Nothobranchius furzeri: one gene and its partner. The protein of the gene in region 1 interacts with the protein of each later gene in a pairwise test. Links are inferred from orthologs where the notes say so. Each region holds a gene or a part of one and is shown on either strand. Other genes may lie near its edges.

Region 1 (5,724 bases):
TAAGATAGAATTTCCATAATTCAAGCTTTAAAATCCCTAAAAATGATAATCATTAATCCAATTCAAAGGTCTTAAAAACACCACAGACTCAATAAAAATGTTGGAAATCTCTGTTAAGTGTTTTCACATTTGAGTGGAAAATTCCCTCAGGCGTGTGGATATGGGTGCATGCACACACACCTGCAGCAGGGGTGCTTCAGGTTTTCTATATTTCTTTAGAGTTTGTGCAATTTTGACTGATCCTCGTGTTGTTGCAGCTCTCCTCTGAGTTTTATCAACACGTCCTTTGCATCTGGATCTTGCTCTAATCCCTGACCCCCTCATCTCTCTTGGTCCCCTGGGAGGTGTGTTAAGCTCACCTCCTGCTGCCATAGACGTGCCGTGCTTCCAGCCGCAGGTCCGCCCAGCGCCACCCACCTCGCATGTTGTTAAATTTAGACCCTTTTTAATTTTGTGCACAAAGCTCTCCTCTGAGATTGCTCGCCACTTCCTTGAAGATCTTAATGAGTCGGTCTTTATGATTAGCTTTATTGGATCACAGGCAGGAGGGGCTGGCTGGGATTAGGACGGTGAGAGAAAGTGGCATGCTCCTGTGAGTTAGAGTAGCTGTGACAAGTGAGGAGACGAGAGATGCAGAGTGGAATCGGGTCTTAATGGATGAAGGAGTCACGTTCTGGGCGCTTATATAAGCCCGTCTTGAATTATTGCCCCTCCACGCACACTTTAACACAACTTTTATTTAGGGACGCACCGATGGATCAGCATTTGATCCCAATCCGCTGAAAGTGCCCCTATCGGTTTTGATTGGAGTTTTCAAAATAGATCAAAGCAGACCGATCAGGTAGGGTTGTCATGGTAACTGGTGTAGCGGTAAACCCCGGTAAAAAATAATTTTTGACAATAATAATAACTGTCTTTTTTTTTTTTTTTTTTTTTTTTAACCGTATTATCTCGGTGGATTACAGTGGCTGCGGTGTAGGCGCGGTGACCCTTACCAGCCACCGTATCATCTGCTGAAGTTGCCAGCGGCACATGCGCGCTTTGTTGTTTACAGCCAAAACTTTCTTGAAGCTAAAGCTGCATTAATGGCCAAAGGAGTAGACGGCAGCGCTCAGGACATTTTTATCCCTCAAAGAAGACAAAGTGGGAAGTACGGGCATTTTTTGGATATTTGAAGAATGCCGAGGGACAGTTGATAGAAGACGGCTATCCTGTTTGCAGCATGTGCTGAAAAAGAGTCTGTGAAAGGCAGCAACGCTTCAAATCTCATGACACATCTGCGTGACCATCACCCACAACTCTACAGTCAACGCAAGGCAAGTTAACGTTAGCGTTTTAGCTAAAATGCGTGATCTGAGGATTTGGGTTGAGGGAGAATGCAACGAGTCGCTATATAAAGCAGCCGCAGCGCCGCTACCTGCATATAAACCGTGTCGCGGACACCTCCATGTTGAAATGACGCTATGCATTACGGGGCTCCCAGGAGCAGATAAGAGTTGGTCACTCTCCGAGAATAATTATGAATTTAACAATGATTACTGCCTGATGACATTTTCCCACATCTGCAAAGCTCACTGGAAGGACACAAACAGAGGACAATATTTTCCTGATATAGGGTTTATTACTCAAGTAAGGGTAAAAAAGTATCTGATTAGAAGGCTACTTGAGTACTGAGTGTCATCCGATCTAATATTTTTAAAATGATGACATCAAACAGACAAAAAATAAGAAGTTTTGGGCAAATATTGGTATTTTAAAGACTTAATGGGAAAAATGTAAACAAATAAACAACATTTAGGCAAAATTTAGACACAAACTGAGGACAATATTTCCTGACATACAGGGTTTATTTAATTGTGTGAAAATGTAGCACGTTTAAAAAAAATACCGCGATAATACCGAAAACCGTGGTAAATTTGGTCACAATAACCTTGAGGTTCAATTTTCACACCGTGACAACCCTAATACAGACCATTTTAGATTAGGTTACATTTCCTTTATTCCCAGATTATGTAGTTTGTAGCACTCATTATAATGTTGTAGAAAATTTCTGGCCAATCCACATGATCAGTATCGGTGATCGGTCTCGGTGATCAGCATTCTTTGATATCGGTATCGGTGATCGGCAGCAAAAAACCTGATCGGTGCATCCCTACTTTTATTAGTCTTTTTTTAACTGTGCTGCCTCGGACCAGAGACATTTTTTGCACATTTTCTCCCCCCCAGTTGAGATTTTTATTGAACTGATCTGAATGTTTTTGTTGATTTAGGGCGTGGCATCAAACTCCTCCTGGGAGCAGGCCATGAAACTGATAATCAATGATCCTCGCTACAGGTGCAGTATTCCCAGGATTCCCAATATTTACAGTAACAAGCTTCAACTCCGACCCTTACATTCAGCTTTCATCTGCAGCGCTCTTCCTAAGCTGAGTGAGAAGAAGCAAGCGTTCAATGCCTACAAAGTCCAGACAGAGAAGGAGGAAAAGGAGGAGGCCCGGATTAAATACAAGGAATCCAAGGAGACCTTCCAGAGATTCCTGGAGAACAATGAGAAGATGACGTCTACAACCAGATACAAGTACGTGCTGCAGTGATTTTTGTGTTTGTTCATGGATTGATTTGTGGCACTCTGAACTGTCAATTTGATTATGGTGACAGGATCAATGAAAGGTCACGTATGGTTTCTGCACACCATCAAGCAGCTGCAGCGCTGCTGGGCTCCCATCGGGATCTGATAGATTCTGTCTAGTTTTATTTATTCTTACAATAAAAAATAACATTTAGTTAAAATTTTGTATGAATTATGTTTTTAAAAATGGTTTCCAGCTAGTTTAAACTAAGGAATGTACTTATTCAATCATGTGATCGGAAATCGGGCCCCGGTCATGTGACTTGTACAGGATTGGATTTGATAGTTTCAGACACCATTAGGGATGGGTACCGAATTCAATACTTTTTAAGGCACCGACCAAATTCCAAAGTACCGACTGAGTACCGATTCACATAATATGAAACGGTGCCTTGTTTCGATACTCGTACCGCTCGCCTGGCGCAAGAGCGTATCTTGTCACTGTGGGTGTAAACAAAGCAGCACGGCAGAGAGGAAGCATTCTGAAGTTTGTGTCCACTGGGGTGGATAACTGGGTGATGATGAAACCAGCAACAACGATCTAAGTGAGGCATCATCATCTTAATCTGCTCCGGTAGGTAAATAAAATGATTAAGATGACGTTAGCTTGATGTGTTAGTTTCCATTCAGCTAATGGTGCGTTTGCTTACTCCTCGGAACTCCAAAATTCCGACTCGAAGAAAGCGAAGGCGCTCTAAAGTTTGGCTTCACTTCACTAAATGAGGTGGGCTATTGGGTGATGATGAAACCAGCGACAACGATCTGAGTATGAGGCATCTTAATCTGCTCCAGCAGCTAAATAAACTGTTTTATGTTAACGTTAGCTTGATAGTTTAGTTTTTGTTTACATAGCTAATGGTGCGTTCGCATTCTCCTCGGAAATTCCAACTTCCTAGTAGGAAAAATAAACGTTTTGAAAATGAACGGCAAAAGGAATGAAGATACGAAGTAAATTTAGTTCACAGCAATGATGTTTGCTTCGGTTTCATTTGCAGTTTATAAAACTACAAGGACCCACCATCACAGTTTGTCCAGAGGGGAAAGGAGAGGATTAGGAGTACATGGAGCTGGATTTGTTTTTGCATAATTTAGAAACGGTTGTTAAAGGTTTTCATATTGAAGAATTTTGTACAACACTATGATGATAAAATACAAACAGTTGTTTGTTATTTATCATGATATTGATCAAATATGGTTATATATTGGGAAAATAATATATATTTAATCAAAACGCTATTTAAATAATTATTATACACTCAAAAGTATTGAAATTTGATACCGTTAAGTATTGATTCGTAGGTACCAGGAATTGGTACTGTATCCATTCAGATGTCAAAGGTACTCATCCCTAGACAGCAGGCTAAAGGCTGGTTCATGCTTCTCCGTCAGCTCCGCAAGGGACAGACACACACGGATTGACGGAAGCGTTTTGCCCTCATACTTCTCCGTCTCCTGGGGAGTGTTGCAAAGCAATTCCCCGGCAGGACAACAGAGGGCGTAGCGCTGTTCTGTGGTATCCTGTCATGTATCGGTCCAAGATAGTGTGTTTATACTGTGTTTTTTTGTATGTAAGAGACGTTTTAACACGGACATATTTGTCTCTCATTCTCCTCCACCTCTTCATGCGCTCCCCACCTCTAAACCCACGTTTCCTGTCATTTCCGTCGACAAATAAAACGCTTGTTGCATATTTTTTCACTCCTCCAGTCACGGGAGGATGAAACGTTCTTATTTTAGAGTTTTTTTCGCGAGGTATTCTTCAAGCTTCTCCATGTCTGCCGCTAGTTATCCTCGGCTCTCTTTTATGTTTTTGAAGGCGCAATGGCGGCGGTGTAGCCGACAGCGGTGCCCTGACCAATCACAAGTTCTCCGTCTCGTTCGACTGATGTTTAAAAAAAGTGGGTTCAACTCCGTACGTACTTGCGTGCCTGCCGGGGCCCTACGCAAGGACGGATAATGGCGTTGCGTGTCTCCGCACTGACGCAGACGGAGAAGCATGAATCAGCCTTAATGCAGAACTAGCATGTCGCCTCATGAGACATAATGTCTGCAGTTTGGACGTATTTCAAACCAGACAGAAGGGTTAGCCCGTCGGCAATGGGCTGAGCCGTTACGATTGTTTTTAGAAGAGGCGATTTGTTTATTTATTTGCCTGTGAGTTAGTTTGTTAATGACGAATATTTGACACGTTATGCACAGAGAACCTCGCAGAGGTAACAATCAACAAAAGATCTCCATCCGCCCATTATCTCACACTTTCTCTGCCTCTCACTGCTGCCAGTGCGTGCAAACAGCACTGAAGAGGAGCTGGGGGAGCGTCTGTGATGCGCTCAACATCGTGCACAAGAGCACAGTGTTGAGTGGAAAGTGGAGATCCGTCTGTCTTTCAGAGACTCTGGAAGACTTCTGGCTATTCCATTTTGGAAAAGTTTCTTGATTTTAAAACTTTGACTTAAAGAGCAAGTCACCCCCAAATCAACTTTTTTTCTGGTAAACTATTTAAATGTGTGTCTAATCGTGCTGCAGACACGTGTAGTCACTAGTTTTGCACTTTAGTGCATTTTAGTTACAATTTTAATTTTCTGCCTAAAACTGGCAGTGTTGTGCCGTTGTCAGGTAAAAACTCTGCACTGCATTTGAATTTAAATCTGCCATCTCTATTGGCTGACCCCTTCTTTCCACCGGAGCCGTCAGCAGCGCGAGTCGGCCGCGTCTCAGGAGCAGCATGTCGCGGCCTTTACACGCCGGTTCTATTTTCTACGCGCGACGCCTCTGAAACGGGTCAAGTTCGACATTTTTGGGGAAGGAAAGACGGGAAGTCGGACGCGGAAATGCAGAGAAGCTACCGAGATTTTCAGAATAAAGAAACGTACTGCCTTCCGGTTGCTTTACTTTTAAAAAAGGTTACTAACTGTGCGTCCCCGTGAGAAGTTATCACCTAGCTAGCGGTCTCCTTTGTTTTTCAGGTCCGTATTGGTGATTATAAAACGGACAGAACATAAAACACAAACCTTTTGGAGCCATGTTGTAGTTTTCTCCTGCTTGTTGTGTTTACTGACGAAGTCACTCGTGTGACTTCGTGCTCGGTCGGTGAC
Region 2 (6,390 bases), on another chromosome or scaffold:
TATATATATATATATATATATATATATATATATATATATATATATGTGTGTGTGTGTGTGTGTGTGTGTGTGTGTGTGTGTGTGTGTGTATGTATTGGTAATCACGGAAGTAGGGAGACGGGCCAATGGTGTAATACATTTTTCTACCTCTAGATGGGGCCCTCAGACAAATAACTCTGCTTTAATGTAACTTTAATCTTTGCTTTTCTTAATTTCTTTTTGCAGAGAAAGCATCCATCTTTGCCAGACAGAGGCTTTCTTTGTTTTATGTTGTATGACTGATTGCTAACCACACACACCTTCTATCTCTCTCTGTTGCCCTCAAAACACAAACACACACACCTCCATTATTCTGTGTCAGACACGCTCTGTACCTCTGGCACACACACACACACACACACACACACACACACACACACACACACACGCACACACACACACACACACATACGAATCCTTCTCTGTATTATTCTTTTAATCTCTTTGGCCTTCTTTTGGCATCCATCCCCTCTGACCTTGCTGCTGCAGAGCAATTCCCTCTCTTAGCTATCTGTGGCTTCACTTTATTTTAGATCCAGTCAGCTCTCGCCTTAACCCTTTTCTGGGGCCTTTTCTTTTTCCTTTGCTCTTGCTCGCTTTGTAGCCCTCGACTTGGTGTTCTTCCTGGTAAGTTTGCATTTGTGCTTTTGGAAAAGTGTGAGGGAGTTGATGTGTGAGAGAGAATCAACTCTTTGCAGCTCTTTCTACGTCCCATGTGCATAAAAGCTGACATAAAAAGACTCCTTGATCCATCTGAAACATTCTAATTCTGTCACTCAACAAATGCTTGCACACGCAACCGTTTAAGTCAAATATGCATGCCATGCACACGCACAAAAAAGGTTTGTGATCTCACCACAGTGATTATCATTGTGGGGCAGGCATACATACATGTCCCCAGGGCAATCTGTGTTAGTTGCTTGTAAATACACACACTCCAGGGAGTGGTGTGTGTGTTTATAACTAAGCCCTTGTTCGTCACTGGGCATCCCCGACGCCTCTCTCCTGCGTCGTTATGGTCGTTTTGGAATTCTGCTGTCCCTCGAGCCCTCCCACACCCTATAATTAGCATCACCAGGGCAACAGGAGGAAGAATGTTTAGTATTCTGGTTGTCATGGTAACTGCGTAAGTGCTGGTCGGAGGTGCGAGGTGGAGGTGTTGGTTAATGACAGAGAAGAGACACTTCAGCCTGCTACTTTATGCAGTGCGTCACCAAGATCATGCAAATAAATCTGTGTGTGTGTGTGTGTGTGGGGGGGGGGGGGGGAATGATGTCTCATCCTGCTATTTAGAGCTTTGGACAGTCTGTGATAGTGGTGATCACAAGAAGTTTAGAATAGAACAAATAACCAAGTATATGAGCATGTCTGGAGACAATAATATGCTATTGAGCTCCTACTGAGTCCTCATTTCCTCCATCTACCAACTGTCTATGGATCATGTGATCTCTACATACCAGAGAACCAGCTCTAGGTTTACTGTGTCTCAGTGAATCTGTAAAGTAAGAGTTTTTTGTTGAGTAAAAATCGATATTGAATTCAATCTCACACAAACATTGTTTTAGTTCCTACAAGGAGATTCCCAATGAGGCATTTGCTAAAATTTGGTCCTCCACTTGTGTAATTCCTTCATTTTAAAGCACACTCACCACACTTTGTAATCAGGTGCAAGAGTTGGGCTGAACATTCGCAAAAAAGTAGTAAAATTTTACATTTAATTAACAATTTCTGGTTAATTGTAATACAAACGTAGTAGTATTGGTGGAGAAATTATGCATGCTGCACAAGTCCTTAGAATAAAGTGAGAAACCTGAAGAACCCCAGTGTTTAGTGTAGGTCAACGAACCAGTGATACTCTGCTGACCTCTGCTGTTCACTTTGGGCTACTGCAACACTTTAATCAAAAATTAGAAGCTGAGTGGTGGTGAACACTGTGTTCTTGCAAGCCAGGTGCCTCTCTGTTCCTCGGGACAAACTGTTCACACGAAACTTTATTAAGTGTTTAATTTTATTCGTGTATTCTTTTTTTAACCAATTGCAGATAAATTATTAAACTCATGAAAAATTATCCGATTCAGTAACTTGACTATTTAAGCAGCTTTTAAAACCGTAATAACCAATTTTAATGCCGTGGACATACTTTTTTAACCTTAAAAATAACTGCGTAGTTTGACCGAATTAATATAATCATATATATATATATATATATACTTTTTTTAATCGGCGGATGGATATGTTCCAGAGACAGCGGTGAGGAGTTTGTGCTTTCCCGTAAAATACGTAACAGAAACCATTTGTGGTGAGTCGGTTCCTCCTGTTGCACTTTGAAAAAAAAAAAGATACTGCGTAAAGTAAATAAAAAATATTTCATGAGGAAATTATTCTATTAAAAAACATATTTGTCAACACCAAATATGATAAGTGAACGATGAAAATCTAACCAATTAAACCAGTTTTGTTTCATTAAAGTCCAAGTTTTGGATCAATAGTTCTAGACATATTTGATTGACTTCCTTTATAGTTTTGTAGATGGAAAAAACGTAATAAATAGTTCCATATATTGTATTCATCTTTACACTGTATGATGACAATTTTAGACTAATAAATTTGTCAAAAAGTTTTAAATTAGCTCAAATATTTGTTAGAAAATGCTGAAAGGCTGCTTTAAGATGGGGGTTATTTTTCACCGCGGATGTATACACACTTGACGTCCTCCGCCACTAGGCAGTGACGTCACGTCCTTTGTCACCCGGCTGTCTCCCTCCAGCCGCCGTTTTGTCGAGGCTGCGCGAGTTCTAGCTGTTAGCTGTTTTTTTTGTCTGTCAAAGATGGCCGCGGGTCCTCTATCTGTCTCTTCTAACGCGTCCACTAACAACGATGGTATTCTCATTGGGGACAAACTTTACTCTGAAGTGTGCCTAACAATAGACAGCTCGCTGGTACCGGAGGAAAGGCTCTGTCCGACGCCATCTATGCTCGACGGCCTCGACGCTAACACCGAGACCGACCTCCGTATTCTTGGTTGCGAATTGCTCCAGTCGGCGGGTATTCTTCTCCGGTTACCTCAGGTACGTGTATTCGAAGATTTAAGACACATATTTTTGATATTTTGCTGTTATTCACGACAAACCACAAGTGGCTTTGGCAAGTCGCGGCCTTGGCGGTCTGCTGATGTTGGCGTGGTGGAATCAAAATGGCGGCGGGTATATTGTGTAAGGTTATAGGCCGGTTTATAGAATTTTTGTACCTTTTTGTCTTTGACAGGTGGCTTTGGCGACGGGTCAGGTTCTTTTCCATCGGTTCTTCTACTCCAAGTCCTTCGTAAAGCACAGTTTCGAGGTAAGATCATTAAAAAGTTTCGGCATTACCCAGTTGCCGGTGATGACAGCAAAGCACAGAACGTTCTCGTGACGTTCGTGGCAGCCATATTGTTTCCGAGTTTCCATATATTGGGGGGGGTATTTTTTCCATAAACCTAACAAATACGTACTTTTTAAAATTTACTATGGTTAACTTAACAGATTACGCCGGTTTATGCTAAAAATAGTGGTCACGCTAAACAAGTTTAAACATCACATCTCATTTAACTGTCGGTAGTAGTTTTCAAAGGTCAGCTAAACTGATCAGATAAATGCAGCACGTAACTATGCGTTACGGTTAGTTTTGGTTCGATAACTACATTTAGTGTGTCACTCACCGAAGACGCTTAATTGTAGTTACTATGAAGCCAGTTTTTTATTTTGTGGCAGAAATGGCAATAATCTTTGTCTTGGTTGACACTTGGACATACCACCAACAGGTTGGCGTACTGTTCCTTCAAATTTTGTCTTGTCGTCTTTTTTCAGATCGTTGCCATGGCGTGCGTCAACTTGGCCTCAAAAATCGAAGAAGCACCCCGACGAATACGAGACGTCATCAACGTTTTCCATCACCTGAGGCAGCTCAGAAGCAAAAAGTAAGTTGAAGCATTAAACTTTTCAGGATTTTTCTGTGAATTGTTGCTGATATGCTTCTGCTGTGAAAGTGCCCTTCTGTTTATTCATGCATTCTAAACCATTTAAAAACTTTTCAGTTCCAGCTTCATTGGTAGTTTTTAAAGGTGTTAAACATAAGTCTGTCAAAGATGAGGCATACCTACTTTGTGTGCCTCATGCTTTAATGTTGGTCTTGTTCTAGATCTTGGCATTAACTTGCTTCTTTTTTCCCTTGCAACCAACTAACAGCGACCAGCTACATTTACCAAAGCCTGGGTGATGTGGAATGGTACGTAAGATGAAGCAGTCGGCATGACAACCATGATGCGAGGGGGTCTCTGTCGTCCCCCCAGGCCCGCCCCATCCCCTCCTGTGGGAGACTCCGTGGTCTGGGCCACCGCGGGGCACTGGGATCGGGGATGACAGGTTGGCCGAAGGTCCTTGGCCTGTGGGGCACCTTGAGGACTCCTGTGGTTCAGTCTTAAGCTTTGGGTATCTGTCCGTATATCTGCGGACCATGGGGTAATGTAGCTTTTTTTCTCTGACTGCTTCTCACCATGCATTTTGATTTGTACATCAAAAGCAAACCTTCATTCATCTTCCACAAACCATGGTCTTCACAGAAATATCTTTGCTGTTGTTAAAGCTTGTTTGGGGTCCTTGCCAGTTAAGGGCCAGTCTATGTAGTGTAGCTCTATTATACATCTTGTTATAAATAGAAACCATCGTTTGTGTGATAAGGATGACATACACGCCTATAAGTAGTTTCTGGTTGCATATTTGGTTTTTCTATTTGGCATATGGATTGTTGGAAGACATTTTTGGGATGTGGTTTGTGGCATAATTTCTTGGAGATACCAAAACTTAAACTTTAGGAGTTTTATCATTAGTTTATAATAAAAGCCTCTTAATACTTAAGGGAAAGTTTTGCTGCATCAAATTGCAGACGGATGTAATTTTAATCTTTTAAGCAAAGGTTGATGGCATGAATTTAATTTCCTAAACTTATTCAGATAAAACTACATGCAGTGAAACTCTTTTTATTTATAATTTTTTTTGTAGTTTGTTTTTATTTATTTATTGGCAGACAGGTCAATGTTGGCATCAATTTGCATCATTGGCTTTTTTATTTATTTTTTTTATTATTTTTTTCTTTGAGTTTCAAGTAGATTTTCTGCTCTGAACGTCCTGGTACAGGTGGTGTGATACGTTGGTGATAGATCTAGTTGTGTGTGTGTGTGTTGTCTAAACAAGTATAGTTTTATTATGAGGTCAGGTGTATTGATGTGCCTTTGAGCAGCATGTGATATTTCTGCACAAGTTCTGGGTGAAGGATGAGGTCAGAGTTCATCTGTAGAGCCCTAAGCTGTCACTGAAACCACAGGAGTCCACAACCCCAGCCGGCACACTGTCAGATATGAAAACAGTAACTTGTTGCTTTCAGTTGGTTGAAGCGGGGAAAAGTGCAAGAATTCAGAAGGGTACTTTCCTATTTTTTAGATTTAAAATGAAATGGGAAAACAATTTTATTTTGATTCTTTTGCAAAATAGGACTCCAAGTCCATTGATACTTGATCAGAACTACATTAATACCAAAAACCAAGTCATCAAAGCAGAACGGCGGGTCCTGAAAGAGTTGGGCTTCTGTGTTCATGTCAAGCATCCACACAAGGTGAGTTTAAGACACTCTTCTCTTTTACATCAGTTTTGGTACCACTGCACAGGTTGTAGTCATCACTGCTTTGGTTTCAATAAAAAATATATGATTTCAGATTGTCGTTATGTACCTCCAAGTCCTGGAATGTGAGAAGAATCAGGTTCTGGTCCAGACAGCCTGGTAAGTTCCTTCCCGTCAGCAGCAGAGTGCCACCAGACATGGGCTTAAGGTGGAGTTGAACACGTTTCAAATGATTGAGCTGATGAAGAGCATTTGATGTAAACCTGTCAGGAGCTTGGAGCTGCCTCACTTAGGACACAAGTCCTGTCAGTCAAAGATGCTCAGGTGCTCTTTTTGGAAACGGCACAGGGCTGGGTGATGAATCGATAACAATATATTCTTCAAAATAACTTCTCAATAGACTTATGAGAACGGGTCGATAGAACTTTGATTTAAAGAAAAGAGCTTCAAGGCTCCTTAGCAGCCTGACAAACTCTGATAGCGGCTAATTTTAGCGTAGCTTTAGTCTGCTGCAGGTAAAAGGTTACATGGCGGGTAAACAAGAAAAAATGAGTGCCACAAACATAAAAAGGACAGAGGACAAAACAAATGACATTGCTGACAATAAGGGACCAAACAAATCAGTTATGTGGACGTAGTTTGGCTTGTAGCTCATAGCTGTGTCGCTAATATGTTGAGCGCAATTTCTGACTGTTAAGG

Evidence for each region. The genes of interacting proteins can lie anywhere in the genome.
Region 2: the proteins of prpf40a (region 1) and ccnl1a interact in binary tests that used the Homo sapiens proteins (3 or more experiments, as listed by UniProt). The link is inferred for Nothobranchius furzeri from reciprocal best matches to the Homo sapiens genes PRPF40A and CCNL1.

Annotation. Positions count from the first base shown.
Region 1 is NC_091754.1:18,341,269-18,346,992, reverse strand, and holds part of prpf40a (pre-mRNA-processing factor 40 homolog A), read left to right. Parts: intron 1-2,270; coding exon 2,271-2,335; intron 2,336-2,413; coding exon 2,414-2,578; intron 2,579-5,724.
Region 2 is NC_091753.1:29,846,281-29,852,670, forward strand, and holds the start of ccnl1a (cyclin-L1a), read left to right. Parts: upstream 1-2,760; 5' UTR 2,761-2,867; coding exon 2,868-3,107; intron 3,108-3,303; coding exon 3,304-3,378; intron 3,379-3,884; coding exon 3,885-3,994; intron 3,995-5,564; coding exon 5,565-5,685; intron 5,686-5,785; coding exon 5,786-5,850; intron 5,851-6,390. UniProt on the Homo sapiens protein: Involved in pre-mRNA splicing. Functions in association with cyclin-dependent kinases (CDKs). Inhibited by the CDK-specific inhibitor CDKN1A/p21. May play a role in the regulation of RNA polymerase II (pol II).